4 linked regions of the Saccharomyces cerevisiae S288C genome follow. Changing the gene in region 2 together with the main gene of any one other region gives a genetic interaction. Each region holds a gene or a part of one and is shown on either strand. Other genes may lie near its edges.

Region 1 (8,679 bases), on a different chromosome or scaffold from region 2:
ATAATGAAGACATTAGCCCCTAAGTTCGATGTGTAAGCCAACCACCATAAAAATATCCAATCCGTGTATATTTGGTGATTGCAAATGGCCACCGAATTGGACTTTAGATGAGAAAGAATCCTTTTCTTCTTCAAGTCTAAAAAAAAAGTACCTTTAGGAACACTGGAATTTTCAGTGGTAATTCTCACTGCAGATGGTGCGACAACATGCAAAATGGATGATACCAAGACAATAAATAATCTTTTGGTTTTATTGAGACCAATTTGTTTCCTTATATCATTTCTACAGTAAAGAGTCTTATAGGTGAGTTGGAGAAACAAAAGAATAAGGCATCCCTGGAAGAAAATCAATAAGGAAATACCTGGGACGACGACTTTTCGAACTTTATGAGCTATTTTTTGATGCAGCATCAGCTTATTGACCTCGCTAGCAATCTCAATACCAGTGGACCTGATATATCCTTTTTTTTTGTTGGCTAGTGTTCATTAATGATCTTTCGCGTTTATATTTCTTTTTCTGATGAGTTTTTCGCCTCTTGAGATGTTGTTGAACATTATTTAATAATACTTTTAGCACAATAACGATTTACCATAAACTAAAGTAAACTATGTATGTGCCACCCTATGAAAAGTCTACAATGAAAATATTTACGCTTCCGTCTTATTAACCGATATGATTAATCAATTTTGTCGTACAATTTTTGTAAATCGTAGTTCTCTCTCCAGTAATCACCGTGCTTTTTCAGTATTATAAGTACACTGCTAGCACCCAAGACGATAAAGGCCAGCATTGTGAAAGCCCACCCAGTTCCCATACCGTTTAACATGGGTGTGGTGACAAAGACTGCGGTTGCAGCCAAGATTTGCCTTATTAAATTATTCAAAGCAACACCGGTGGCACCCTTTCCCGGCAATGAATCGACTAAATAGGAAAGGGTAGCACCAATTGTCATCATAGCTGCATATCCAAAGAGGGCTGTTCCAATTAGTGGCGTTACCCAGTGGCATTTTTTATCTAGGCACCAGCCAAATATCAATAGCGCAATGGGGAAAGATATTACAGATGTAACAACATTCCACGATATACGAGCTTCAGGAGCAAGAATTCCATATTTCTCTTTGTATCTTTTTAAAAGCATGTCCACCCAACGTCCACCGTAAATTGAGGCGAAAAAGTATGTTACAGAATTCGGAATATACAGTAGACCAATGTATAATGGTTTAAAGTTGTAAGGAGGCCTTGAATATTTATATTCAACTGTCATATTAACAAAGTATACTGTGGAAAAGGAAATTGCGGAAAATGTTATTGCAAGTGCCACGGGTGGATATTCTAGGAAGTGCAATGATTTTAAAGGCTTGATAAAATAAACAAAAAAGGTGTCCCAGACCTTCCTCACCGCTGATACCTGTTTAGGAGCGATTTCACCTCCATTACTGGATAGCACTTTTTTGACTTGCTCTTCCAGGTTGGTTTGTAATTTTCTCAGACTATTTTCTCGAATCGATCTCGCTAACTTTGGATCTGTTGATCTTATTCTCGTAACTTGTGCTGTTGTTGCATCGATACCGCTATCATCTAGCTGATATTCATACAGACTTCTACTCGCCTCTGTATAAATCCGTTGCAATTGGGTTTCTCCAGCTCGACCATCATAAGTATTGGGGCTAGAGTGACTTTCTAAATCTAGCGAGTCTTGATCCCTTACCTCTCCAACGTAGTTATGCTTCTCAGTAGATAATGTGGCAACTTGGTTTTCAATTCGATCTGTCTCATCTTCTCCCCTCTGATAATCTTCTTGTATCTCTCCACGTTCGTTATTGTCTACTTGAATACGTCTTTCAGCCAAAATTTGAGCGATAGCGCCTTTAGAATCTTGTTTTCTTAATGTTTCAGGTAGTAACACCGTCAAAAGAATGACATTACATCCGGATAAAATAACCATAAACCATTGAGTGGATCTCCAGGGCCAGCGATTCACTAACAAAGATCCAAAAATTGGAGATAGTAGCGGCGCCAGTAGTGGACCCAAATAGTAATAACTCAAATTTTTACCTCTATCTTCGCTAATATATAAATCAGCCACTGTTCCAGCACCTACACTTTGAACACTGGCAGAAGCAGCCCCACAGAGCATTCTCAAGGCAATAAATGAGTTGATATCAGGAGCTAGAGCAGACCCGATATTAAATGCAAACAATAATGCAAATGAAGTTATGTAAGTAGTTCTTCTGCCCTCTAGCTCGGATAGAGAAGACCACCACAATGGGAAAACACCAAGACTTAAAAGGTACACACCAATTGAAACGTTTACCATAATCACTGATGTTTTAAATTCTGTTGTGATTGAGTTGATCGCTGGAAAAATGATAGATGTGCCCATGGGGCCCATCATGGAGGAAAACGCAATCAAGAAGACAATCATCTTTTTCATCATCGGTGGATAATCTCTGGCATCCTTGAACTCCGGTATAATGGCGAGTTGAGGCAATAGTCCCCTACGTTGATTCTTTGGAACAACGTATTCCTCACTCTTCAACCTACTTAGCTGGTTGTCTCTGTGTTCACGACTATTTGATGCCGTACTTTCCAGATTGGTCTTTTCGTAACTATAATCGTTGTGCTCGCTGTGCGGGCTGCCGCTGCTTTCATCGCAGTGCATCATAACATGATTGTTCGGTAGTGAATTGTCAGAGCAATTACTCCTCAAAGACCCTACATTCGATTGTGAACCTTGGGCTTGCATGTTTATCGCTTTCTGACTTCGGTCCTAGCATAGACGTTAACAAGTTAGAAAGATGTGAATACATATGCCTTCAACCCTGTTTTCTTTTAAGGATACAAGGACACAGCTATTACAACAAATTTTGTTGGTTTCTATCTTATCTAATCGATAATCTTTTAATATTTTAATCTAATCGCAGTTATCCAAAACTGGAATGAGATGGTTCAAATCCCCAAAGGTAGATGGAGTTACTGCTGAGGCGTGGAAAAACCCGAGTTTTTCCGAAGCCGCATATGAGAAATTGAGCAGGAATAATAGATATTTACGAAGAGGTAAAAGTGATAAAAGGCAGCGCCGTGGCAATATCTATTTACAATGACTCATTCTGACTATTTAAAAGTATGTAAGGGCTTTATCTAGGCTTTGTGCCGTTCAGGCTTTTTGTATACACATGTGATAATTGTATTACAGCTTGTAAGTAATTCAATGAACGTTTCTACACCGGCTAAACAAGAATCCATTTTGCTCCATGGCTCCAAGTTTCCATCCTTTACTGTGTTCACCGGTTCTGAATTTGGAGAAAACTTGGCCATTGGAAACGATTTTTCGTTTATAGCGCCTGCTATCAGGCTATTGATCTCATAATAGTTGTACCCATATGCATTCTTAAACGCCACTTCTGATGGGAGAATAACTGCTGATAAAACAGCATTGATGCCTACCTTAGTCATGAAATTGGGTTCATTTGCTTTCAGTTCATTCAAACCTGGAATTGCCTTCAGTAGGGAGATGCCGTAACCTGGGATGAAACCTTTGGCCAGCCCATGACATAGGACGTTATTTAAGCAATTATCTATTGCATTTCTTCTTCTGTCGATTTCGATTTCGTTATGTCCACCAATGCTTAAAGTGACCGTATTTTGGAGGAAGGATTTCGGAACTTTATTTGGAATCGCTTCAGCATCAATGGAGTTATATAAGAATGCCTCCCCTGTGGTCGCTTTTATGGATTCGATACTGCCGTAATATTTATCCGCACACATTTTGCTTGGCACTAAAGGACTATATTCTGGTGAGTAGATGCTGTCATATCCGCAAGGCAACCGTAAGAACTTTATAAAATCAAGATTCTCCTGTGGCGCTAAGTCATTGTTCGCCTTTTTAGAGTACTTCAAAACCACTATTCGGCTTTCATTATTTTCTCTCTTGTTTCTGTTATTGTTAATTGTAACGGATGTTAATGCATCACCTGTGCAATCTCCGTTAACGATTAAGAGAACAGATTTTCTCAACTTTCTTGCATACGTTATCGTGGGTAGAATTTTATTAGCGTCTCGTAACGTCCCATCATACATAAGAACTAGCATATCTTTATCAATGGAAACTAATTTCTTAGTAGGCAACTCCAGGGACCTTAAATAGGCTTCATTACTATCTAAAATACCAGCTGGATATTTCCAACCCTTGGATACATCAACCTCATCGTAAGTTTTGTTGCCGTTTATGACCCGCACAATGTCATCCGAAAACAATTCATAATTAATGGCTTTCAAAACCCTTTTGATGCTTTGGCTGTCTGAGGAGGACATAGTCAATTGCTCGACCAGAGCATCAACATCGTTTTGACTTTTCACTATAATCTTGTTCTTCGCAAGAAAATCTCTGATATATCGTAATCCGGCCTTGATCCCATTGGTCACTTCTTTTTCGGGATACTTGAAATAGTGCTCCAGTAAAGAGCATGTCAAAGATGTTGAAGTTGCTGTTAAGTTGTCCTGAATGCAATCCATGAATAATTGTAGACCAACCCTCCCCAGCTTTCGAGGCCTGTTTGATTGAAGTCGTGTGTTGGTAGCTTCATCTACTTGTAGGGAATCTAGTAACTCACGCATTACATTGTGAAGTCTCATGGTATCATGAGAACTAACGACCTGTGGCTTGGATTTATACTTAGGTTCATATATCAATGTTTTATTGTAGGAGGATGAAGTTATTATTTTTTCCAACAGCTTAATACCAGAGAGCGTATCTCTGAGAACCTGAAGGTTTTTTGTTCTATAGATTGGGGTGTGTAACGTTTTTACCGAACATTTCGTTTGATGATTTCCCAATTTCCTCAAACAATTCCTCAGCATACTCGTTAAAGCATAAGAGAGTTTTATGTTTACAGTAGTGTGGGAGAAAATAACGCCAGGTTAAAGCTCGTAAAAGGTAAACTATCGCACTATCGAAACTTTTGTTTCACAGGGAATGGAAGAAAGGGCCTTTATTTTTTACATTTTTTTAAGCCATAACGGATTTTAGTTACCGAGATTTTCAATCCTATAAGAATTACCTAAACTATTAAAAGCGGACCCATCTAAAACATAACGTTCGGCAAGTAGATGTATTGTTCCAAAAAGGCAATACATCCATACAACGGTGCCACCGATCTGTAATGAATGCTCCGTAATGTTTGGGGGATTCATTAAATTTACTGCTGGAACCGAGAGAGAAACACGACAGAGCAATTCATATAAATGAATAAATGAAAACTCGGTCGTATTGCCCTTAAACGTTTATAGGACCAGGTTGGCTACTTCCTCATCTCAATTTTGTGATAGGGGAGGTCTGCGTAAGGAATCAATTCGGATACCTTGGTAGTACTTTTAGGGGCACATTTTTTATTTCTACTTCTTGTATTATTAGGTATCACTGAGATCTATCTCTAATGATGCCTTCACTCCCACAGATAGCGGAAGACATTAATGCACTTCAAATCAAAACTTCTTCAACTAAAGCTACTCTTTTCGAACGCAGAAGATATAATTTCATTCCTAGAGACTTTCTACGAACCTAAAGTAGCAAATTTAAAAAAATAAAGAGTTTGATCCAACCGAGGTTCGAACTCGGGATCTTCGCCGTGTAAAGGCGACGTCTTGAACCACTGGACCATTGGACCCGGAACTCGATACTATGTCATTTTTGGATATCGGTTAGTTGTATACATTGGATATCTCATCTAAAAGCATTACGCATGCCCTATAACTGGTAAATTCAATGAATGTTTTGTAAGTTGAGGGGATGCTAATTCCCTACGAAGTATTTCTATATTATGTGCAACTACATCAAGAAGATAATATTAAAGTTGTTGGAATAAGAATCTGTTGGAATGGAAATCAACTATCGTCCATCAACTATAGTTATACTACTGGTATTATCATATACGATGTTAGATGATGACATAAGCTATGAAAAAACTGCCATTGAAGTTAAAGGAAGCTGAAATGCAAAGATTGATAATGTAATATGATAATGAAACATTTAAAACGGAATGAGGAATAATCGTAATATTATTATGTAGAAGTATCGATTCCATTCGAGGATTCCTATATCCTCGAGGAGAACTTCTAGTATATTCTGCATACATAATATTATAGCCTTAATCAATAAAAACCCCAAGAATTACCTCAAAATTCACCAATATCTCAAAATCAACCTTCATCTGTCTACCAGTAGTCATATTATTATATGTTATCATATACAGTGTAAAAAAGATGATATAAAGATTGAAAAACAGTCATCAGATGTTTGGGAAGCTGAAATAAAATATAGTAGGACAATGGGTGACAATATATAAAATGGAGAAAGAAATAGTAGCCTTATTACGTAAAAGTATCAATCTCTTTTGTAAATTTTTGTATCCTGGGGAAGAACCTTTATCATATTCTCTATTCCTAATGTTATAACCTTAACAACAACGAAATCCCAAAAATTATGACAAAATCCACCAATATATCAAAATTCACATAAAGAAAGCCGTATTCTATATAACATTGCAGAACATTTTTCTAACACATTACCAATCGTCAAAGTTCTGCCTTTACTAAATCAGGTGCTGAATTTTGAATCATATATAAATAGCCAAGTAGTTTGTGCGGTCGATTCCAACGCCGCTTATAATCCTATTCCAGCAATATTAACAATGTAGTCTTAAACTGATATGGTAACGACAGATAGAAGATAGCTGACCCATATTCAACCAAATATCTTGTCTAGAAAGGCGCATTTGATAGGCAAAAAATTGCACAGGCGTATTATCTTTGTATGCTAATGCTTTTTTATGTTATTCACTGAATACTAACTATCAGTAGTTGATTCCCTCTTAGCTACAAATGCATAACTATATGTATAATCACGTAGATAATGTATTGATGTAAAGTGAAAACAATTTTACAGAGTATTGGCAGTTAAGTGTTGTTTTTTCGCTCAAAAAACATCCTCATCAAGCGATATAATTTGTGCCCCTTGACTACTTATACCTTTCAGTTGCCTACCAATGTTTCTTTCCGTAGCTCTCATACTAAGTATGATATCAGATTTATCATTAACGGAATCTTCGCATTCAACAGCCGCAAAATCCAAAGGATATTCTTCAGAATAGTACTTGCTTAGTTGCTCTCCTCTCAGTCTATAATTTTCTGCTTCATTTCTCTGCCTTTTATACTCTGTATATTGAAAATAATGTAAAAATTGGGCTACACCTACTGTGTCACACTTCGAAGCTCTCTGAGACTCCTCATCATGCTGTGAATTCATCTTTGTCTTTAGAATTGACCTCATTTCAGTAGTCGAATAACCACTTTGAGTCTCATCTTTGTTTAACTTTTTAGATTTTTTGTAGATTAAAAGACGTGAGTTTTCATCAAACCTAACACTTGAGGTACTCCGATCCTTTATACAAAGATCTGTATCCATTTCTGAAATGTTTTCGCTGTCAGATAACTCTGCATCTTCTTCGTTATCAACATATGGATTGAAAGCATCATAGAATCTTTTATTTCTAAAATTCACGCATCTTTTCTTTTTTTGATGACTTTTGATCAAATGCGTTAAGTTATCTTGGCTTAAATCAGCTTTACCAACTTTTGAAAGAATTTGTGATATATTGGTCCTATTAGTAAGGCCGCGAAATGTGGGGATAGTATAAATTTTACTACTTCCACTTGAGCTTGTATCAGATAAATCGGAAAGTTCCTCAGATTCAACTGGCTCGAATGTGGTCTCTACATCATCCGAATAGCTACTGCTCGCATCATCTATGTCTTTATCCAATGTATCATCTTTTAAGGCCGAGCTCACTTCAATTGGTTTTTCCATTGCGTCCACCGTGCTAGTATTAGAGTCTGGTATGACCACATTTCCCTCTTTCTCAGTGGTAACATCGTTTATTGAATCCTCATCCATATTTCTGTATTCGTTATCACTTTCATAATCGGAGGCACTGGAACCAATTTTGTTAGAGGGAAAATCTACTTTTTCAATTAAAAACGAATCCGTGGAGCTTAATGCTTCAATTCTTTCTTGAACTTCTTTGGTAATGTAAATGGATGGTGTACTTTCCATCGAATGATCCGATTCAGGTTCATCTGAGTATTGTTTTAAGCATAGCCTCTTTTCAGATGTTGTATCACTGGAATCATTGCGAATGCTTCGTTTTGTGCCACGTGTCGAATCTGACCTATCAAGCGATTCATTTGATTCAATTGGAGTAAAAGTTGCAGGCGCTAAGCTTTGCAAATTCTCTTCAAAATGTTTCAAATCTTCATATTTTAAATTATTAAAAGGAATAAATTTCTCACTTAGGTTCCAACAGGATTCATTGTCTAGATAAGCCTTCTCGGAATTTTGGCTCCTATTTGAATGATCAAATTGCGTTTCAAATTCTTTCGAATTTGTGTGGAATCTGTCGAAACAGGGCGTATTATTGTCTGGTTTGTCCAGATTATCTGACACAGACTTTTTTGTTTCTTCAACAACTGGACATCTCTTTTCGCTTTGATGTCCGTTTCTCCCATGACGTATTTTCTTCAATCCCCTTTTCAAATTATCTTTGAACTCATAGAATTTTCTATTACTGAACAGGGTTTCAAATTTAGTGTCTCCTCGGAAAAAAGAACTCTTTCCATCTGGGC
Region 2 (4,764 bases):
TCTAATAATTTCAATGTTCATATCGTCTAGCTCCTCTGCCGTGTCAAAACAGTTTTTGAAGTAAGGTGCCAGTGGGGTATCCACCAATACGGTTTCGTATAGGGATTCAAGATCAGTAGCAACACTCAACGTAGGCAAAGTATCAAACCAACCTAGCGGATGACAACGTTGTAAAATTTCACCCTTATCACGATCATGAATAGTACCTGTAATCATCAATGCTACATTGTCGATCATGTAACCATAAGTGATATAGTCCATGAACTTTCTCGTGGATCCACTGGATTGGTCTCTTATGTAGTTGAATTCGTGGTACAACTTGCTAGAAGCATATTCTTGAATCAATGACGTGGTCAAAGACTCTGAGGAAACAGAGGAAAGAAAATTACCATAATCAGTTGATGATAATTGTAATTTTAGATCTTCCAACGTGTCACATTGTGTTAAGTTGATGTATTGGTTATTAGATAACAACCCATTTCTGTAGCCTCTCACTACACCTTCAATAAACCCATTGTCAATATTGAAATACACGCCTTCCATCTTCGCAAGACTTTAGCAACACGATCCGAATGGTATACTCTTTTGCTAGCTCTTAGCGTTCTTTATGCCATACCTTAAAGGGTTAAGAGGTCAATTGTTCTTTTGTTTTTGCAGTATATCGAAGATATTTTAAAAATACGTCACTTTGTACGCAGATATCAGCGTAACAATAGGTGCGCGGAAATTACTTAGTTCCATAATACAAGAATCTGCTGACTTTGCGTCTGTAAGATAAGAAGGGTACGGCCCAGAGTATGAATCGTTGGGGGATGAAATCACTTTTTCATCTTCCTACAATTCATTTTGTCCTTGAAATACATAATAACAAAATATTAATGAAACTTGCATGTTACCAAATAACTTGAACTTCAGCACTTCTATTTGTATACCAGTATCACAGCATTCAGCAAATTTGATTATCTCTCATGCTTCATGTCCTACCTTTTTTCCTTCTTTCTTCCTTGTCTTAATCTGAAAGTTACTAATAATAATAAAGACAAAATATCACCCATGCACCAAAATGTATGGGTCATAATTTTTTTTCTTGCCTTCAAAAATCGTTGTTAGCTGCAAAATGGCGGTGAAACACATAGTTGTGGTTATGCGTCCCCTCCGGGCGGCCGCAGATGGAGGATGCCCCCATGTGCTGATTCTCCCCGTAGGCGGCGAGTAATATCCTCGCCTAACCTGGACTTGCCGTGCTAAGTCGGCCTTCTAGGCTGCGCTTCCGTTCAGCATCGTTTACGGTAGAGGGAGCACATGGGCGGAAACAAACCTCATTCTGGTCCTGTGCTTGCCCATTTGCACTGTATAGAGTGTGTGAGTTTCAATTAATGTTGTAGGCGCGAGGCCCTGTAATATGGCAGTTGATCAAAAGTCAATAGATAATTTTCAAGCAAAATCTCATTTAGGTTTGACTACTTTCTTGAACTTGGAAGAGAAGCAAATATATTCAACGAAATGACTGCCCAACAAGTATGTGTAAAGATGAGTAAATTGAAGGATGTGATGGTTATGGAGATGGCACACGTGCCTAGAGGAAAATAGTTACCCAAGAACAAAAGCAGGAAGGGAGCTAACCTTTTAAATATGAACTGGACAAAACTGGACAAAATGAAAATAACGATTTTAGTAAAAATGAAAATATAGCATCAAATGACTGAGAAACATAGTAACAATAACTCATATTATAGCTAATCTGAGTAAACTTCTTCCTACGCTAAGAATTTTTTTGAGGATAGTACCAAACCTTGTGCTGAATCAGCACACGCCATGCCCACCATCAATTGTGCAAGAAAAAAGTAAACGAGTAGTATACTAACTATATATGTGATTTACATCACGATATGTCAATTATAGGCCCCAAAGTGGTATCCTTCCGAAGACGTTGCTGCCCCAAAGAAAACCAGAAAGGCTGTTCGCCCACAAAAGTTGCGTGCCTCTCTAGTTCCAGGCACTGTTTTGATCTTGCTAGCTGGCCGTTTCAGAGGTAAGAGAGTTGTCTACTTGAAACATCTAGAAGACAACACTCTATTGGTCACTGGTCCATTCAAGGTCAATGGTGTTCCATTGAGAAGAGTCAACGCTCGTTATGTCATTGCTACCTCTACCAAAGTCTCCGTGGAAGGTGTCAACGTTGAAAAATTCAACGTTGAATACTTTGCCAAGGAAAAATTGACCAAGAAGGAAAAGAAGGAAGCTAACTTGTTCCCAGAACAACAAACTAAGGAAATCAAGACTGAACGTGTTGAAGATCAAAAGGTTGTTGACAAGGCTTTGTTGGCTGAAATCAAGAAGACCCCATTGTTGAAGCAATATTTGTCCGCTTCTTTCTCTTTGAAGAACGGTGACAAGCCACACCTATTGAAATTCTAAATTGAACTGAAAAAATTATAAATGATTTAAAATAGAATTTCAAAACAAGGAGAATTGATAGAGAATGCGTTGATCTGAAAATACTGTTTGACAATAACGGAAAGGTAAGTGGATATGTAATCTAAGTTTAATCCTCTTCTAATTCATTTTTCCTATCAACATTATCTGTGCTTTTCTATATCCTTCTTTTTGTATCTATAATTTTTTTTTTCTCTTACATAGCAAAATACAAAAAATCATAAATATTAATATCTAAGGGTTCAAGATCAGGTCATCGCCGTTCTGGGCCACTAGGCTATATCTATTCATTTACATTGGAAGCTGCATGGTCTACTCCAACCGCACTGAGGCAAAGTCTCTGTGGAGGAAATGCTGTCCTAGCGAGCCATTGCAATAGGTATAATCAGAGTCGTCCTCCCAATGTGTTAACTTCTCTCAAAACCACCATATAAATTCTGTAACCTGCCAGCGATAATGTTATATATGTAAAAGGTAAACATACAACCCAATTTGTCCATACTAAGTGGATGCTGGGGAAGCAACTACAGTGCAGATGCTAAAGTTTGCTGCGGCAAATAATCTCAACATTTTTGTGATTAAACCTGCCTCAGTGGGGTGTATGATTAGTGCGTTGATATTTAATACACGCGTAAAAGTTAAGTCTGTTGTACGTTTTATTTCGAGTGACGAAAGAACTACGAATAACTTCCTGCATACTGTTGCCTTTTTCTGTATTTACGTATACTTTTATATCAAATAGCTTGGCCAAAAGAAAGTAGCATTGTGTATCAAGTCATAATTCTAATTCTTAGTTTAACTTCAGCAAAAATAATATTCTTCGTCAGACATTCTCATACAATCATTAACCCATATGAACGTTAAATTTCTCAATTTCTTGCCTTCGATGCCCTATGTATATTTTTATCTCAAACCCGAGGCAGTGAAAATTTTAGCTGGTGCATCGAAAAGAGAAGGGCATTGAAAATTTTACAGTGTTAAAAGAAGTGCTTTTCATGTTAGAATGATAAGAAAAAAGAAAAAGACAACAAAATATACGTCTCTACCATGTCTGATATGCTTCCATTGGCTACGTATAGCCTGAATGTTGAACCATACTCCCCAACCCCAGCTCTGAACTTCAAAATTCCGGTTACCATTAGAATCACAATGGCGGCCATCGACCCTGAGCCCTTTGACGATGACAAAAAGCCATCTACTTTAAGAATAATCAAAAGGAATCCTGAACTCACTCGCGGTGAGTACTACAACCAAGATAACAATGACGGCCTCGAAGAGGATGAAAGTGAAAGTGAACAAGAAGCAGATGTACCAAAAAGGAGTGTCAAATCAAAAAAAGGTAAGGCAGTCGAGCAAAGTGAATCAGAAGACTCTGAAGATGAAAACGAAATCGACGATGAATTCGAAGAATGCGTTCTTTTAACCTTATCTCCAAAAGGCCAATATCAACAAGCTTTGGATATTACCATTGCACCAGAGGAAGACGTTCAATTCGTCGTTACCGGTTCATACACTATCTCTCTAACCGGTAACTACGTCAAACATCCATTCGACAATTCTTCAGATTCAGACGAAGATGAAGAAGACTATTACAGTGACGAAGAATCTTCCAATGGAGAAGAAGAAGAAGAAGAAGAAGAAGAGGACGATGAGGAACTAAGTTCCGGTGATGACGATCTTGATGATTTAGTAGATGCTAGTGACATCGAAAGTCGTCTTGATGAATTAGTCAAAAAGGACGAAAAGAAGAAAAACAACAAGAAGGACAGTAAAAGGAAACATGAGGAAGATGAGGAAGAAAGTGCTAAACCTGCCGAGAAAAAACAAACGACCAAGAAAGACAAGAAAGCAGAGAAAGTTAAAGACTCGGAAGAGAGCAAACCAAAGCCAAAGACGAAGCTACTGGAAGGCGGTATTATCATTGAAGACCGCGTCACAGGAAAAGGCCCACATGCCAAAAAGGGTACCAGAGTTGGAATGAGATATGTTGGTAAGTTGAAGAACGGGAAAGTTTTTGACAAGAATACAAAGGGTAAGCCTTTTGTTTTTAAGTTGGGCCAAGGCGAAGTAATTAAAGGATGGGACATCGGTGTTGCTGGTATGGCGGTCGGTGGTGAGCGTAGAATTGTCATTCCTGCTCCATATGCCTACGGTAAACAAGCTTTGCCCGGTATTCCTGCTAACTCTGAATTGACATTTGATGTTAAATTGGTCTCCATGAAATAGGGTCCTTAATGCATACGTATTGATATATGTATCTATAATACTATATACAATTATCTATACTTCCATTACTAATATTATCTTTCAATTTTACATGTTTTTTTC
Region 3 (7,704 bases), on a different chromosome or scaffold from region 2:
AGAAAACATCTCACTCTCTTTCTCAAGACCTGCGTCCTACGGCTATTTTTCTGTTGGAAAAAGGGTTCCAATCGTTGAAGATCGTCGAGTGAAACAACTCGACGATATAACAGACAGTAATACAACAGAAATTTTAACTAGTGTTGACGTTTTAGGAACACATTCACAAACTGGTACTCAACAATCAAATATGTACACATCAACCCAAAAAACAGAACTTGAAATTGATAATAAGGATAGTGTCACCGAATGTTCGAAGGACATGAAAGAAGATGGTCTTTCCTTTGTGGATATCGTTTTGTCGAAAGCAGCATCGGCGCTGGATGAAAAGGAAAAACAATTGGCTGTTGCAAATGAAATTATTCGGTCTTTGTCAGATGAAGTTATGAGGAATGAAATTAGAATAACTTCACTTCAAGGTGATTTAACTTTTACAAAGAAATGTCTTGAAAATGCGAGAAGTCAAATATCTGAAAAAGATGCTAAAATTAACAAATTGATGGAAAAAGATTTTCAAGTGAATAAGGAGATAAAACCGTATTGACTTTTTATCATTCTACAAAAGACCAGTAACGAAGTGTACCCTGTTTTTCTTTGTCGTTTTCTTCTATAATGAACAATTTACTTTACGGTCTTTAATCGATTTTAATGATTAGTTGGGCTTTTGGCTACATATGTAAAATTACATATAATATAATGGACACATAAGCAAAAAAAAAAAAAAAAAAAATAAACAAATGAGCAACCCATCAAATACCAAGAACAAAGAATTTAATATAATATATAGTTATTAAATTTAAATGTATATATGCAGTTCTGCTCTTATTTTGTGACCAATTTCTTTAAGTCATCCAAACCGACCTTGCCACTATTAGATTTGCTTGAATTTTGCGACGTTTCATGATAACATGTCGAGTGGAAATATTTGCCATTCACTTCAATAGTATTTTTCCAAACCCATTCACCAGATTCTTCATCATAAACGCCAGTAACGGTTTCCTTACAAATTGGACATTTGAAGGCCATATCTTGTGAAGTTTCTGGTACAACAACATATTTTCCCCGTATTTCCAACTCGTTACTTCTATCACTTCCTAAAGTGTTGTCTACAGAGCCTTCGTCATTTTCATCAGCGTGAATATTTAGGGCACTTTTATCGATATTTTTATTGGCATGCGGATCAGTATAATCATTTTTATGCTTTGTGGAGGTAATTTCATCATCTTTGAAGGCTGCCCATTGAGAGTCACTCAAATACCAGTTTCTTGATTGAATATTTTTCCTTGTGGTAGTTGTATTTAAGTTAGAGTTGCTTATGCCTGTATTTGCTGTGTTTTGTGATCCCTTAATTCTTGTATTTATTCTGAAATGCCAGTCCAAATGCTCATTTTGTAGTAGTTTTTCACTTTCTGAGTTGCCAAATCTCTTACCACACACGCTACATTTATTTGGCTTGGATCGGTATAATAAGTGAATAAGATTATTTTGGACGATGGGATTTTCTTGAAGAAGAGTTTGTTCGGACAGCTGCAGGGATGGGTTATTCAAAACGTCGATGTTAACCGTGGCAAAATAAGCTTTGCAGTCAGAAAGAATATCATTTAATAAGGGTATCTTTGGCAGGTTCTTCATCAATTGTTTTTCGTGTGAATCAAGAGAGTAGTTTGAGTGTCCATTTAGCTTTTTATAAAGCGTTACGATGGATTCTTTTGGTGGAGTATATATGAGCCCTTCAGCCTTAAGAGATGCATAGAGGTTATTGATTTTGTTTAGGGACTTTTTTTTCTCAATTTCTTGAAAAGATTCAACGCCAGAAATATTACCAAAAAGAGAGGAAGATAAAGAATTCTGTTGGTTCGTTGTATCTGAATTATTTCCAAACAATGGAATCGCTGAATTAGAGTTTTGTGTGTAAGAACCGACCATATCCTTAGTTTCGTGATACTGCTGCTGCTGCTGCTGTTGTTGTTGTTGCTGTTGCTGCTGTTGTTGCTGTTGCTGCTGAAGTTCGTGATACCTCATTCTTTCCTGCAAAACTTGTTGGTCCTGTGAGAAGACCTGCCTTAGTTGCATTTGAACTTGTTTCAGAGCATTGAGAGTTAGTTTTTCTCTTTTCAGTTCTTGTTTCAACTGAGATAAAACCAACAGTTTCATTTTTAATTTTTCATCATTTGGTTGATTCTTTAGCCTTTCACTAGTTAAACAAGTTAATTTATCAATGTCTCTTAATAGGAGGGGAACAGTCGGAGTTGGTAACATTGCTTGCAGGTTTTTCTGGTGGAGAGCACTGGCCTTTATTAAAAACTGTTCAATTTTCTCCAGTGCTGAGCCTTCAAACAGAGGCAGGCCGGTGTCATTAGGATTCAACCAAAGCTTAAACATATTGATGAGTTTTGTTCTTGTGGTGTTGTCCACCAATAAGTATGTTCTTTTGTACAAGTTAAACAAATTTCTACTGAAGTAGATTGTGTATGGGCTGCCAACATTCTTACAAATGGAGTCCAAGGCATAAAAAGCGTATAGCTTCTGCTTAGGCATACATTTTTCAATTCTACTCTCAATGGCGTCAACAAAATATTGAGCACACGAAATGTTTTCTTCTGCTAACTTCGTGAGAGTGGTAATAATGGGTCTCGAGTTAAAAGTTAATTCTTCAAGAATACTGTTGAAATCCTTGACTATAACTTCTGTGTCGTGATCCATAATGAAAAGAGAGTATTACAAATAGACCTAGTGTTTTCAAGTACAGTTTTCTTAACTGCTCCGAAAATTGTCCTGGTAATTCTTTGCAATGCAAAATTGAAAGAGAGACTTTTAAACTACTAAACCCTTAACAGTAGAACAACATTGTCTCATTAATTTTTGAAATTTCGCTTTCTTCCCATGCCTTAGGCCAAGTTCTCATCCAATGCGTCGAGTCCTTAAAAAAAATTCGCCCGGGTAAACTAAAACTTAGATGCACTAGGTAATACCATTTGGTGATAAAGGGAATAAAAAGCAGCAAATCCTAGCTCAATTACGAAACTCTGATCACTTGGGGCCCAGCTTCATTGGCTAAATTGGTGTATCCCTTGAACCGACTACGTAAGTACGTTTTGAAAAGTGTGTAAATCTATGTATAAAAGTACATCAAAAATTAGACTGAGAAAGTTCTGTATAGCTGTACTAATACATTAGGAATAGGCTAGACTTCTTCGCCGCTGGAATAAAACAGCTGGGCCTTCTCTTCATTGGTACCACTTGCTTTGCTCTATTGAAAGTACAAAGAATAGAGCAGACGAGTGTAAACATCCTATCTGCGTTCCAACAGAAGTGCGTATTGAAGTCATCTCATGCTAATGGCCATCTCATGTAGAATAGTAAGGAAAAACGTATCTAATTTATAAAAACTTGAGTTAGATCTCAAACTTCGGTAGATTGCGCCTTATTTAACGGATGATATACACTTATTCTACTGCTCACATTACTCGTTTTACAGGAAAAAATGGTCAATGCGGGCAAAAGAAAAAAATATTGGGCGATATGTTACAAGAAAAGGGTGAGATGGAAATTTATGCTAAACATTAAGTGGAAAAAAACCATATCCATACAATAGAAGTATATATTCTGAATAAAGGGTCAATTAAATTTCACCAAGGAATAAAATATTGTTAAAGAAAGTAACAGGAAGAGAAATCGGATATGCCTGACAATAATACGGAGCAATTGCAGGGATCTCCTTCAAGTGACCAGAGACTGAGGGTTGACTGGGACAACGGTAACCATTTTGACGTCTCTCCCGACAGATACGCGCCTCATCTATCTGAATTTTACCCAATTGTAAATAGTAAAAGACCAGTGGCTAGCAGTGCTGGCTCAGAAAATAACGACCATCTGGACGACATGAACCATTTACGTTCATCCAAAGTGTATTCAAAGGCCCGTCGGGCATCGAGCATAACTTCTGGTACGAGCACAATAAACGACTTGCAAACGCTAATCACAAAGAGAGATGTGAAAGAGACCCAGGAAGCCCTATCGACATTACTCAGGAACTCGAATGCTTATTCGGATTCGTTATTAAAGACATCTCAGAATGGGGCAGAAATTGCCCATTCCTTAGAAAACATTGCCAAGTTGAAGGGTTGCAATGATGAAACGGCGGAGAAACTATTGAGTGCCAGTGGGTTATTCTACCTTTTATCTAATCATCAGCTTATAATGTCAAAGTATTTCAATGACTTGTTGGGAGATAATTTAATTGATGATATTGATGAATTCGAATTACAGACCAAGATAATGGAGAACAAGTTCAAAGCACAAAGCAAAGAGCAAAGTTTAAAATTGAAATTGCAGGAAAGACATAACTTCGATATCTCGAAAAGAAAAATAAGGAATTTAATCTCATACCGAGAGAGCCTTTCTAGCTTGCAAGCAAGGTTAGATCAACTGGAGACACTAAAGCACGATTTTTACATGGATTCATACGAACTTGTGGAAAATACATGCAACAAAGTACTCAGCAAAGTTGCCACGGTATCTAGGGCACAAGTGGAAATTTCTGAAAATATTGCAAGGAAAGGTTGGTCTGGAGGCGGGCTAGACGAACTACTTTGTGATGCAGACGACCCCTTCAGCAAAAAAGCAGATGGGCCATACGGGACCATCGGTGGTGATGGAGAGACTGCTGGAGAAGCATACAACAGCGATGAGGAAACGGGTGGGAATGACGTGGTGCTCAATGAACTACTAGAAGGAACCAGCCAACCTTCCACATCAAAAACATCTTTACCCAAATCCAAGGGGTCCTCAACGGTATCCACACCGAATCATTCACAGTCAAGTTCAAACAAGGACGGGGTACGAAACAATGGCGGCGGCAAAAATGGCGAAGATGAGGATACAGACAATTTGATGGGAACAGAAAATTCATTTTCTTTACCGCCTACGAGAAACTCTGCCGAGGAAACCACACAAACGTTTAAACAATTGTCCATTAAAGAAGATAATGACAATCACAGCAGCGATACGGACGGCATGCAAGACCAGTCAAGTAATATATAAAATTTGTAACTCTATGTATGCTTTTTATATAGAAATGGAGAAAGTGAACAATTGAAGTTATAGTATTTTCGGAGAAATGTTGCATATATACATAGGAAAACGGTTAAAAGGCCCTGCTTCTACCTTCTGTTTCCCCCTCGTTCTTTTCACCAGAACTTGTACCATTTCTTCTCAGAGGAGGCCTGAGATAAATTCTGGTTACTTTGTTCAAACTGACTCTGCTTTTCATTTTTGGCGGCCTCCCATTGCCCCGGCAGAGATGGGTCATGAGGGACATTATGGAGCATTGGTTTTTCCTTTTTCGCCACGGTTTCCTTTGCCAATTGTGCGATCTGGAAACTTTTTTGTCTCTTTAGCCTACATTGCTCCCATCCGACAATCGAGCCCAGTATCAGAGAGCTCATCGCCCAATTCGTGGCCTTAGTCGGGCTCTTATGGTATATAAATATAATAGATCCCATCAAGAACATGCTGGAAAACCCGAGCATGCCCGCGTCTCTGAAGCACGGGATTGAAGTCAGCTTCTGCAAACTAAAATCACTCCATCTGATCGAGTCCCAAGCCTCTTTCAAAGTAGCCCGTTCTTGCTTCTTGGCCAACTGAGAATTGGACAAGTCATCGGCAAACTTGGGTGGAGTGTCTTCTAAGAGGATCTTTTGACCCCGCGAGTAATTTGTCAGCACGCGATCACCATCTGCTTTACCCTGCGGTTGTTGCTGCTGCTTTTGATCTTCTGTCTGATTTGACCACGGCCACCAACGCATCTTTATATTAACTGTTGAGCTGCTCGTTACGCACTGCTGTGGACTTCACTACAATGCTTTACCGAGCAGTGGAGTTTGATATAGTGGTGGTACCCCCGACGGTGCTATAATAAGCTTGCCTGCACGGCTTACCCTACCGCTCGGAAAGGCCGCCTTCGTCGCTCATTGGTCTGCGGCCGCGGGCGCTTTTTGGTCATTGTTCATATATGAAGAAAGAGCAGGAACGGAAATTTTTCATCTTGCCTTGCCCATTGTTCTGATCCATGCGTTGTTAGAAATACAACGTTTGCATCATACCAAACTTCTCCATTCCGTCAGCTGATACTCTATTCGGTTGTGTGTTGCACCCTGCTCTGCTGTCTCTCAACCGTTCTTCCTTTACACGCCTTCCCTTCTCAGCTCGCGTTTCTTTTTTTTTTATCCCACTCTTTTCTTTTTTCTTTCCTATATATTGCCCATATAAGTTTGGTTGGAAGGAAAACTAATAGAGCTAGTTGTTGTCCCTCAATAATCATAACAGTACTTAGGTTTTTTTTTCAGTATGCAACGCTCCATTTTTGCGAGGTTCGGTAACTCCTCTGCCGCTGTTTCCACACTGAATAGGCTGTCCACGACAGCCGCACCACATGCGAAAAATGGCTATGCCACCGCTACTGGTGCTGGTGCCGCTGCTGCCACTGCCACAGCGTCATCAACACATGCAGCAGCAGCAGCAGCCGCTGCTGCCAACCATTCCACCCAGGAGTCGGGTTTCGATTACGAAGGCCTGATAGATTCCGAACTGCAGAAGAAAAGACTTGACAAATCGTACAGATATTTCAACAATATCAACCGATTGGCCAAGGAGTTCCCCCTAGCTCATCGCCAGAGAGAGGCGGACAAGGTCACCGTTTGGTGTTCCAACGACTATTTAGCACTTTCCAAGCACCCTGAGGTATTGGACGCCATGCATAAAACTATCGACAAGTATGGTTGTGGTGCCGGTGGTACAAGAAACATTGCTGGCCATAACATCCCCACTTTGAATCTGGAAGCCGAATTGGCCACTTTACACAAGAAGGAAGGTGCCTTAGTTTTTTCGTCATGTTACGTAGCCAACGATGCCGTCTTATCCCTACTGGGTCAAAAGATGAAGGACTTGGTGATTTTCTCCGACGAACTCAACCATGCGTCCATGATTGTCGGTATTAAGCATGCTAACGTAAAAAAACACATTTTCAAACATAATGACTTGAACGAATTGGAACAACTGCTCCAGTCATACCCCAAATCCGTTCCTAAACTAATTGCTTTCGAATCAGTATATTCTATGGCCGGTTCAGTGGCCGACATAGAAAAAATTTGCGACTTGGCCGACAAATACGGTGCTTTGACCTTCTTGGATGAAGTACATGCGGTCGGCCTGTACGGCCCTCACGGTGCAGGTGTTGCAGAACATTGTGATTTTGAAAGTCACCGTGCAAGTGGTATTGCTACCCCAAAGACCAATGACAAGGGCGGCGCGAAGACTGTGATGGACCGTGTCGACATGATCACCGGCACTTTAGGTAAGTCTTTCGGTAGCGTAGGTGGCTACGTCGCAGCCTCTAGGAAATTGATCGATTGGTTCAGATCGTTTGCACCTGGTTTCATTTTCACCACGACTTTACCACCTTCAGTTATGGCAGGCGCTACCGCAGCAATTAGATACCAACGTTGCCACATCGACCTAAGAACCTCGCAACAGAAACATACCATGTACGTAAAGAAAGCTTTCCATGAGTTGGGCATTCCAGTTATTCCAAATCCTTCTCATATCGTCCCAGTGTTGATTGGTAATGCTGATTTGGCTAAGCAAGCTTCTGACATCTTAATCAATAAGCATCAAATCTACGTACAAGCTATCAACTTCCCTACG
Region 4 (7,933 bases), on a different chromosome or scaffold from region 2:
TTTGACGAATATCATTTGTGGGTCATATTTTTTTGCTTGTATATCCATATTAAAAACTCTAAAATATGGTTGGGCATCAATTCCTGTACTAGAACAAAAACCCCAGCCACCAACATTTGAAGACGAATCACCGTCTATCAAGTGTTTCATAAACCAGCGTTCCCCCCATCTCCAATCTATTAATAAGTTTTTAGAAAGAAAAGAAGCTGTGATCATTCTAGATCTGTTATTAATATAGCCTGTGTACAGTAATTTTCTCATTATGGCATCGACTATGGGAATGCCTGTATTACCAGTACACCACTTTTCAAATGCTACAGGGTTATTCTCCCATTTTATATCTAAAGTGTCCAATCGATAAGGCATTCCCATTGAGGTATATGGCCAGTTGCACATACAATGTCTGTAAAAATCTCTCCATGCAACTTCTTTGATGAAATTTTGGGTGGACGAATTATCTTTCAGTGCTTTTGACATTATTTGTCCGTTGCATGATTGAAATGCCTGGTTGACTATAAGTCTTGTGCTTATCCTACCAGTAGTTATATATACACTTAGCCCAGAGGTTCCACCCAAATATAGCATGTCTTTTTCATTGTTGTACTTAGAACTTTTTGTACCGAGGAAATCTTTTAATCTGGATAAAGCTGCTTCTTCAGAAACGTCTGGCAAGCACCATTTTGATTTAGGTATATATTGAAGGAATTCATCCGGTAATGAATATTGGAATGGCTTCAGTTCAAAAGTTTCGTTGTACTTTAATGGTTCGATTATATGCAAATGACAAATTTCAGAGGTACTCTTTTTGTAATTATTTACATATAGCACCCATTTTTTGTACCATGGAGTAAACACAGAATAGTTGGTGCCTCTGTCAGTAGTGATCAATCCAGGAGCAACAATGCAAGAGTCGTGGTAGTATTTCAATTGCAATCTATGGTCTTCATTTTCTAACAGCCTAATATCACGGTACAGTTCATCTGTTTGGTATTCTATATTAGCAGTGATTATCGTACCTGTTCCTGAACTTACATTCATACATTTTTCTTTGAAAAACTCCACGAACTCTTTTGAATTAGATAAGGTACTTTTTGGAGTGTGGAATTCCCACAGAAGAAGAGGTATGTGTAATTCGGCTAAGGACTGCTGCAAATTTTTTAACGCCCCCATTATAAACATCAATTTCCATCCGCTATCCATATGGGCTCTCCAATCATCTTCATTGATGACATAAACAGCATATAATTTGGCTTTTGCGTTTTTTTGCCTCAATTGCTGGAAGAGCGCAACACTTTTGTACAGTCCCACATTATCATATAAACGTAGATCATTTCGAAACCAGTGCATGACAGTGCTAACATTCTCAAACGACGTTTTTTGCTTCTTTTGCAGTTTTTCCACAATCTCCATTGGTTTAGCCCGAGACTTATTATTGAATTGATTTGCGCCTGTCCTAGTAATTGGCCTTGGATAATATTTTTTGTTCAACGAGTGGTATTGTTCAAAATCATGTTCTATATCCAGCCGAGATCTCTTACTAGCATATGCGTTCGAGGAAGATATTACCGTTCTTTTCATTATCAGTGCTGGTTGTCTGTTCTGTGAAACGAATTGTAAAGAGGAATAAGTGTCAAAGTAAGCATACTTTCACCCCTTAAGGTTTAATTTGACTGCTTCCTCGAAAAACGAGGAAGAAAAGTGGCGCCAGTAAAAGCGAGATATGTAGTTCGGGATAAAAATAATTGAATACGCAGTCATCAAACGTAATTGTTGTAGCTAGCATTATGAAGCGTCATCTTCATATCAATAACTTCTTTAATATGCTTATTGGATAGAAAGATTTATGGATTTCAAAAAGCTCCGATGATGATTCTGGATAGAGTTTTGATTTTGCATAAACTTCTAGATAACAATTTCGAGAAAAAACAGCTGTATCTTCTCATATTGTTAAAAAGGTGGGTTCAATTGACGGAGCTTGTTATATTATGCTTGGATTTGTTACAAAATACTTGCTAAGTAATATTAAAAGGATACTCTATGAATACAATCAGTAAAAAGATGTTGGTACTAGCGCCGGTGTTAAAATGCACACAAAATATACCATAATCTTGACTACGTAGGAATAAATCCTGTATAAAGTCAAACCAAAAACAACGTTACCTTGATCTTACTATTGCCAATAAGTATGAAAACCTCAGATTAATTATGGGCAATAATTGCGTATTGAAAAAAAATTGAAAAAATATGTGATGCGAAGTTCTAGCTAATATGTATGTATCTCATTTGGCTAGGTCGTAATGTCTCGGATAAATGCCTGCTCAATTGAACCTAAAGAGTAATCTCGTTTCATTCGACCTCAGTTGCCTGTATAACGTTCCTCTGGGTGTTACACGTCAAGTTATATTTTTCGGATTGGACGGATTGCGAAAAAATCCTTGAGTAATAAGCCACTAGATTGTATCCTACTTCACCATTTTCTATTTCTGTTTCTGTTTCTTTTTTTATTTTCTTTCTCGTTCTATATGCAGCAGATAATGGATTAAAGCTCCCTGACAGGCAAATTCCTGAGTCAAATCAGGAACGGTCGTGATACCAAGAGAGTCTGGCTTTGAGTGTTCTCCAATAATAAGATTGGAGCATTTTGACGTGGATCTAGGGAGTATATCGGAAAAAGTTCTTGTATAATGGCCAATTACGAAATCTGGAGCCTTACTTTTTCCTTGATCTGGTTTTTGCCTTTCCTTTTGGTTACTATTTGAGTAATTGAGCCTGTCCTCATCTAGGAACATCAATCGAAAATGATCGCTGTAGAATTTCACATGCCAACGAAAACGCATACCGTCCAAAGTGGAATATAGATCTCGCATATTACTTTGTTTGATTATTTGGTATTTTTTGACCGGCTGCGTTTTAGAAGGATAGAAGAAATCGTATTTAGTTTCAAAAAATCCTTGATGAGCATAAATTTCACAATATAAAATTTTGCATAAACGAAAAACTTTATCTTGACAAATAACTTTACAATCAGAGTATAAAGGCGGATCTTGCACCCCTTGTAAAACGTACTTGTAGATATAGAAATCCGGCGAGCTCCGAGTAATTTTGCCAATAACGTTATAACTTTGGACAATATGAAAAAGAGGAACACCTACACCATCCGCATCTAGAGTACTGATATTAAAGTTTGTCTGTTTGAATTTGTCATAGGATTGCTCACTTGAGAATACAAAATATCCTCTAGTCCCGAATATACTTGCAATGGGCATATTTCTCTCTCTGCTAAAATGGAGACGTTCAGGAATTGTGTTCCTTTGAGTCTTTTCAATTCTATAATTATCATCATCACTCAATGGTTGACCACTGAAACCACGCATTGTTAATTGGTTGTTTCTTCTTTGAATTATTATGTCTTGGTTTCTACTGCCCGCCTTATATACAGTAGCTCAGTGAAAGTGGCTGCTACAGTTTTTTCGCTGTTTCTATGTACAATGCCTTTGAAAAATTAAGAGGCTTACGAATGAACATGAGCCCCTGTTGCTGACAATGAAGTGATATTTCTATGAAAAGCCTCGCTTTTATAAGCCTTTATGACATACACCATAGGCGATAATCGGGGAGAAAGGTTTTCGTCAAGAGCTCACTATCAGTATTTTCTCAGTAATTCGAGATACCACTATCATAGAAACTTCAAACCCACTGTAAGTGATGCAAGTACAGTGTAACCTTCATTTGTTTGCGAATTGAAGTTTGATTAAATAATAACTTATTACGTAAGTATTTACGAGACATTTGCGTATCGTTGCCCGCTAATTTTCATCGAACTGGCATTGAATGAGAGTAATAAAGGAAGAAAGTTCTTAATTCACTCGCCTAATTTTCAACCTACCTGATGTATTACCCTTCACCGTTGACTGGCAAAACCTGGTTGAATATCGCTCCCTCGGAAAAATGATATCAATCCTGCAATGAGAGATTGTATATTGCGCATTTTCTATATCAAATAAATGAAGAAAAGTGGCAACTTTGACTCTGCAACGAAGACAGTTCTGAGATGAATGGCAGAAAGAACTGCAGCTTCGAAGAATGCTTTTCGGGAAGGTAAATGAATAGCTAGAACATTTTCAATTGGATACCCTGATGTAATGCAAAACTTTTGTTTTCTATCATGCCTAAAGTATCAATTCATATCATGATGAAAAAGGTAACTCTATGTAGCCATCCGTGTTTCAAGATTATGTTCTCGTGATTGACAACTTACGACAGTGGCGCTGTATATGTCAGATGCGACTGTATTGAAACGATCCACATTCTAAAGGGTGCTGCTTATTATTCCTCCGATAAGTACTGTTCCCGTAACCCTGATTACCCTTCGATATTTATTAATCAGGGAGGAAATAATAATAAAGCGAATAGCGATTTTATACTCATGCGTTAAATTTGTATTTTTGCCAACTCAATCTAAATGACTGCAATTTTTCATACCAAGAATGTTAGCAATGTACCCTTTTTTTAAGTAGTGGTGTGCAGTGAAGGATTGTTATTTGGCGATGAAAACTAATTGCAAATCCCCACAAATAGGATTTTTAAATAACAGTAAGGGTGAGGTGTAGTACCTTCGCCGGCTTATTAGATTCCCGCTGATTTTTAAGGACTAAATGCATTGAATATTAATGGAGTACAGTTATTTCATACAGTAATTAAACAAGGTCCGTGTTTTTGTGGTTTTGGTATTCGTAACAGGTTAGCATTGATAGGGCGGATTGAAATGCTACCAATTCTGGAATTCCTCCACGTATTCTATCCATTTGTCACCGTGTTCAAGAACTCTTTTTGCCGTCAACTCTCGTGTCTTGTCTACAAAGCCCTCTGACCCGCAACAAGTGACCAACAAAGATTTTGCACCACTTACTGCTTCTTCAATTATCTCATCGATATTTGGTCGTCCAAAATCAGTAATCATTTCCGCTGATTTCGATGTCGTCAGCAGTCTGCCTTCCGTGCTCATATTAGCAATTGCTCCCTCCTCCGTGTTCGATTCATCTTTTCGCTCTCCTGTGAAGTAAATTTTTGTGTCTATGTTCAACTCTTTTAGCACCATTATCTCTTTGCGATACACTTCTAAGAGATCAAGGTTACGTACACTCCACACAAATTTGATCATTTGATGAGAATCGTTGCTTTTGACCTGGCGACCTGCCTTTATTGCCATCGACAGAGGTCCAGGAACACCCGCCCCTCCGGCAATAAACAGGAGGCTTTCGAACAAATGTGTTCGCGTGCTTTGTCCATAAGGTCCTTCTGCTAGTACTCGCATTTCCGTGTACCCTTCGCTCTCTAAAAGGTATTCCTGTAATTTTTTGGTTAGCCCATTTTTCACTGTTATCACAACTACCAACTCACCATCCTCAACCAAAGAATCCATGACCGTGAATGGATGTGATTGCCAGAATATTTTTGGTCTTAAGAAGTACAGATATATATATTGGCCAGGTTCTGCTTTCCACCATTTGGAGCTTTTTGAGATTCTCACTTCTATCATGGACTCGCCACACAGTTTCAATTTAGCCCATGGCATTCCAAAAATTGCAATCTTTATTAGCCGCAGAATACGGTCAGCAATCCAAAACAGTGCACACGCCATTATCCATTCACCCCATCCAAGTTTATAGCAATGTTTCCAGCACGCATGGAAAAATCCTATTGCTAAGATAATGTGCGTAATAACAAACAATTCGTAATAATGTCGTCTAAAGAAGAAGAACGAAAAAAACACAAGTATTCCAACAATGATCATGGCATGTCTTCCGGATGTCCATAGATCACTATACTTCACGTATTTCCAGTAATTTTCTATGTATGCATGGTAGGTGTATCCTATTGCATGGATCGTACAGTCTACTAACATGAATCTTCCTAACCATTTGTGGTAAGTAATGAATGCGGTATATCTTATACCTGTGAGCCAAGTCATTGTGCTGTTTTTACCGCCAAAGAGAACTATCAAAGGAAAATGTGCGAATGCCAGGATCCCTGCCCTGTCGGAAAGGAAGATAAGCACTTGGCTTCTGCGATCACTGAGCAACTCATTATGGTCAAAATTGTAACTACTCAACAAGAACCCGTGCAACAAAACGTAACCGAATAGGACAAGGGTCTCTAACCTGGTAGGGACCAGACCGATGAAAAACCACCTTCCCACTGACATAGCATGGTTATGAACAAGCGCTGGAAGAACATAGTGGCCTCTTAAGAAAGCAGACACCTTGTTTTTGAACACCGTTTGTTTAAGTCGAGAAAAGTTCAAGAAGTGATATACAGCTGCAATAAACAGAACTCCTATCCAGTATAAGCAAATCGTCACTCCATAAACATTTCCTTTGTCTATATTATCCAGGGGCCCAAAATAAGCCCATACCCACCTATCTAGAGAGGCTTTATTGGGAGTGACGGGATATCGTATGTTTTCCTTTACCTCATCAAGAGGCCGGATGAAAAGGGATGCATTGGCAAAAATTCGATAATACTCCTCATTGCTGACGACCTCATCTTTGTGATAATCGTGGCAATACTGATTAATTTTGCTAAACGTTTTTTCGAATATTTTTTTACTTTTCTTCCTACTGTCGAGAACATCCTTCGCGCAATGTAACCAAGACCCTAGTGCTGGTTCATAAGTGCAAAGAGTAGCGTGCCGACCCTTCACATCCGTGTCAAATTTGTGTGATTCCAATTCTTTAGCACAAGCATCAATTGCTATCTGGTCCCATTGCGTTCTTTTCTTAGTTGATGCTGGTTTTGCTAAAGAACCTGGTGCCAAATACACCAACAGCAGCACTAATCTAGCGAAAAGCATTCGAAATCTGGGTGAATTAAATTAACTGCGACAAAATTGGTGATGTGACATACCGAAAACGCTACATTACACATTTGCCAAGTAAAAAATTGACGCTCCTTTTTTAATGATCGCTAATGTAATGAAAAGTAAAAATCCAATTAAACGAGGAAGCGGTAAAATATGATTGCTGTGTAGTAATGCCACAGTCTTCTTAGTCCTACCTATGTCCTAGATTTTTTTTTGCACCCTGTTTGTTCCGCACCCCGCTATCCCATATTTTTTGATGTATGTGAAGGAAAGCAATCTAAGGGCTCAAGAGCCGAGTTCCGCCATTCTAGGAAAGGGTGCAAAAAAATGGGGTTCAATTATCGTTCGAGATTTGTTATTTTTTTTTTTGTAAAAGTTGATTTATGGGGTATTTAAGCCAAGAACTATTTGAAGTATTAGGAGGTAATATGAATGTTCGAACAGATACAAACAAGTACTTCCACTCGCTTAAAAATAACTAATAACAATAATCCCTAAAATGAAATTCTCTTCCGCTTTGGTTCTATCTGCTGTTGCCGCTACTGCTCTTGCTGAGAGTATCACCACCACCATCACTGCCACCAAGAACGGTCATGTCTACACTAAGACTGTCACCCAAGATGCTACTTTTGTTTGGGGTGGTGAAGACTCTTACGCCAGCAGCACTTCTGCCGCTGAATCTTCTGCCGCCGAAACTTCTGCCGCCGAAACCTCTGCTGCCGCTACCACTTCTGCTGCCGCTACCACTTCTGCTGCTGAGACTTCTTCTGCTGCTGAGACTTCTTCTGCTGATGAAGGTTCTGGTTCTAGTATCACTACCACTATCACTGCCACCAAGAACGGTCACGTCTACACTAAGACTGTCACCCAAGATGCTACTTTTGTCTGGACTGGTGAAGGCAGCAGCAACACCTGGTCTCCAAGTAGTACTTCTACCAGCTCAGAAGCTGCTACCTCTTCTGCTTCAACCACTGCAACCACCACTGCTGAAACTTCTTCCTCTGCTACATCCTCTAGCACCGCTGAATTATCTAGTTACACCGGTGCTGCTGATGCCATCACCGCTGGTAC

The links.
Region 1: mutations in RPL6B (region 2) and TCM62 together harm fitness less than expected from each alone (positive genetic interaction), as found in Saccharomyces cerevisiae (one large-scale study listed by BioGRID).
Region 3: mutations in RPL6B (region 2) and COX20 together harm fitness more than expected from each alone (negative genetic interaction), as found in Saccharomyces cerevisiae (one large-scale study listed by BioGRID).
Region 4: mutations in RPL6B (region 2) and YOR385W together harm fitness less than expected from each alone (positive genetic interaction), as found in Saccharomyces cerevisiae (one large-scale study listed by BioGRID).

The regions. Positions count from the first base shown.
Region 1 is NC_001134.8:321,200-329,878, forward strand, and holds TCM62 (Tcm62p), read right to left. Parts: upstream 4,861-8,679; coding exon 3,142-4,860; downstream 1-3,141. Other genes in the region: CST26 (putative acyltransferase), read right to left, coding at 1-410; QDR3 (Qdr3p), read right to left, coding at 677-2,746; protein phosphatase regulator GIP1, read right to left, coding at 6,974-8,679. UniProt on the Saccharomyces cerevisiae protein: Chaperone. Required for the assembly of succinate dehydrogenase subunits. Ensures mitochondrial gene expression at elevated temperatures and prevents heat-aggregation of the ribosomal subunit VAR1.
Region 2 is NC_001144.5:1,027,351-1,032,114, forward strand, and holds RPL6B (60S ribosomal protein eL6 RPL6B), read left to right. Parts: upstream 1-1,503; coding exon 1,504-1,518; intron 1,519-1,902; coding exon 1,903-2,418; downstream 2,419-4,764. Other genes in the region: VMA6 (H(+)-transporting V0 sector ATPase subunit d), read right to left, coding at 1-543; peptidylprolyl isomerase FPR4, read left to right, coding at 3,484-4,662.
Region 3 is NC_001136.10:921,104-928,807, forward strand, and holds COX20 (Cox20p), read right to left. Parts: upstream 5,808-7,704; coding exon 5,190-5,807; downstream 1-5,189. Other genes in the region: chromatin-silencing protein SIR4, read left to right, coding at 1-544; PCF11 (Pcf11p), read right to left, coding at 823-2,703; IVY1 (Ivy1p), read left to right, coding at 3,682-5,043; HEM1 (5-aminolevulinate synthase), read left to right, coding at 6,349-7,704. UniProt on the Saccharomyces cerevisiae protein: Involved in the assembly of the cytochrome oxidase complex. Required for the maturation and subsequent assembly of the mitochondrially encoded COX2, the precursor of subunit 2 of cytochrome oxidase.
Region 4 is NC_001147.6:1,060,484-1,068,416, reverse strand, and holds YOR385W (uncharacterized protein), read right to left. Parts: upstream 3,375-7,933; coding exon 2,502-3,374; downstream 1-2,501. Other genes in the region: deoxyribodipyrimidine photo-lyase PHR1, read right to left, coding at 1-1,578; FRE5 (putative ferric-chelate reductase), read right to left, coding at 4,769-6,853; FIT3 (Fit3p), read left to right, coding at 7,362-7,933.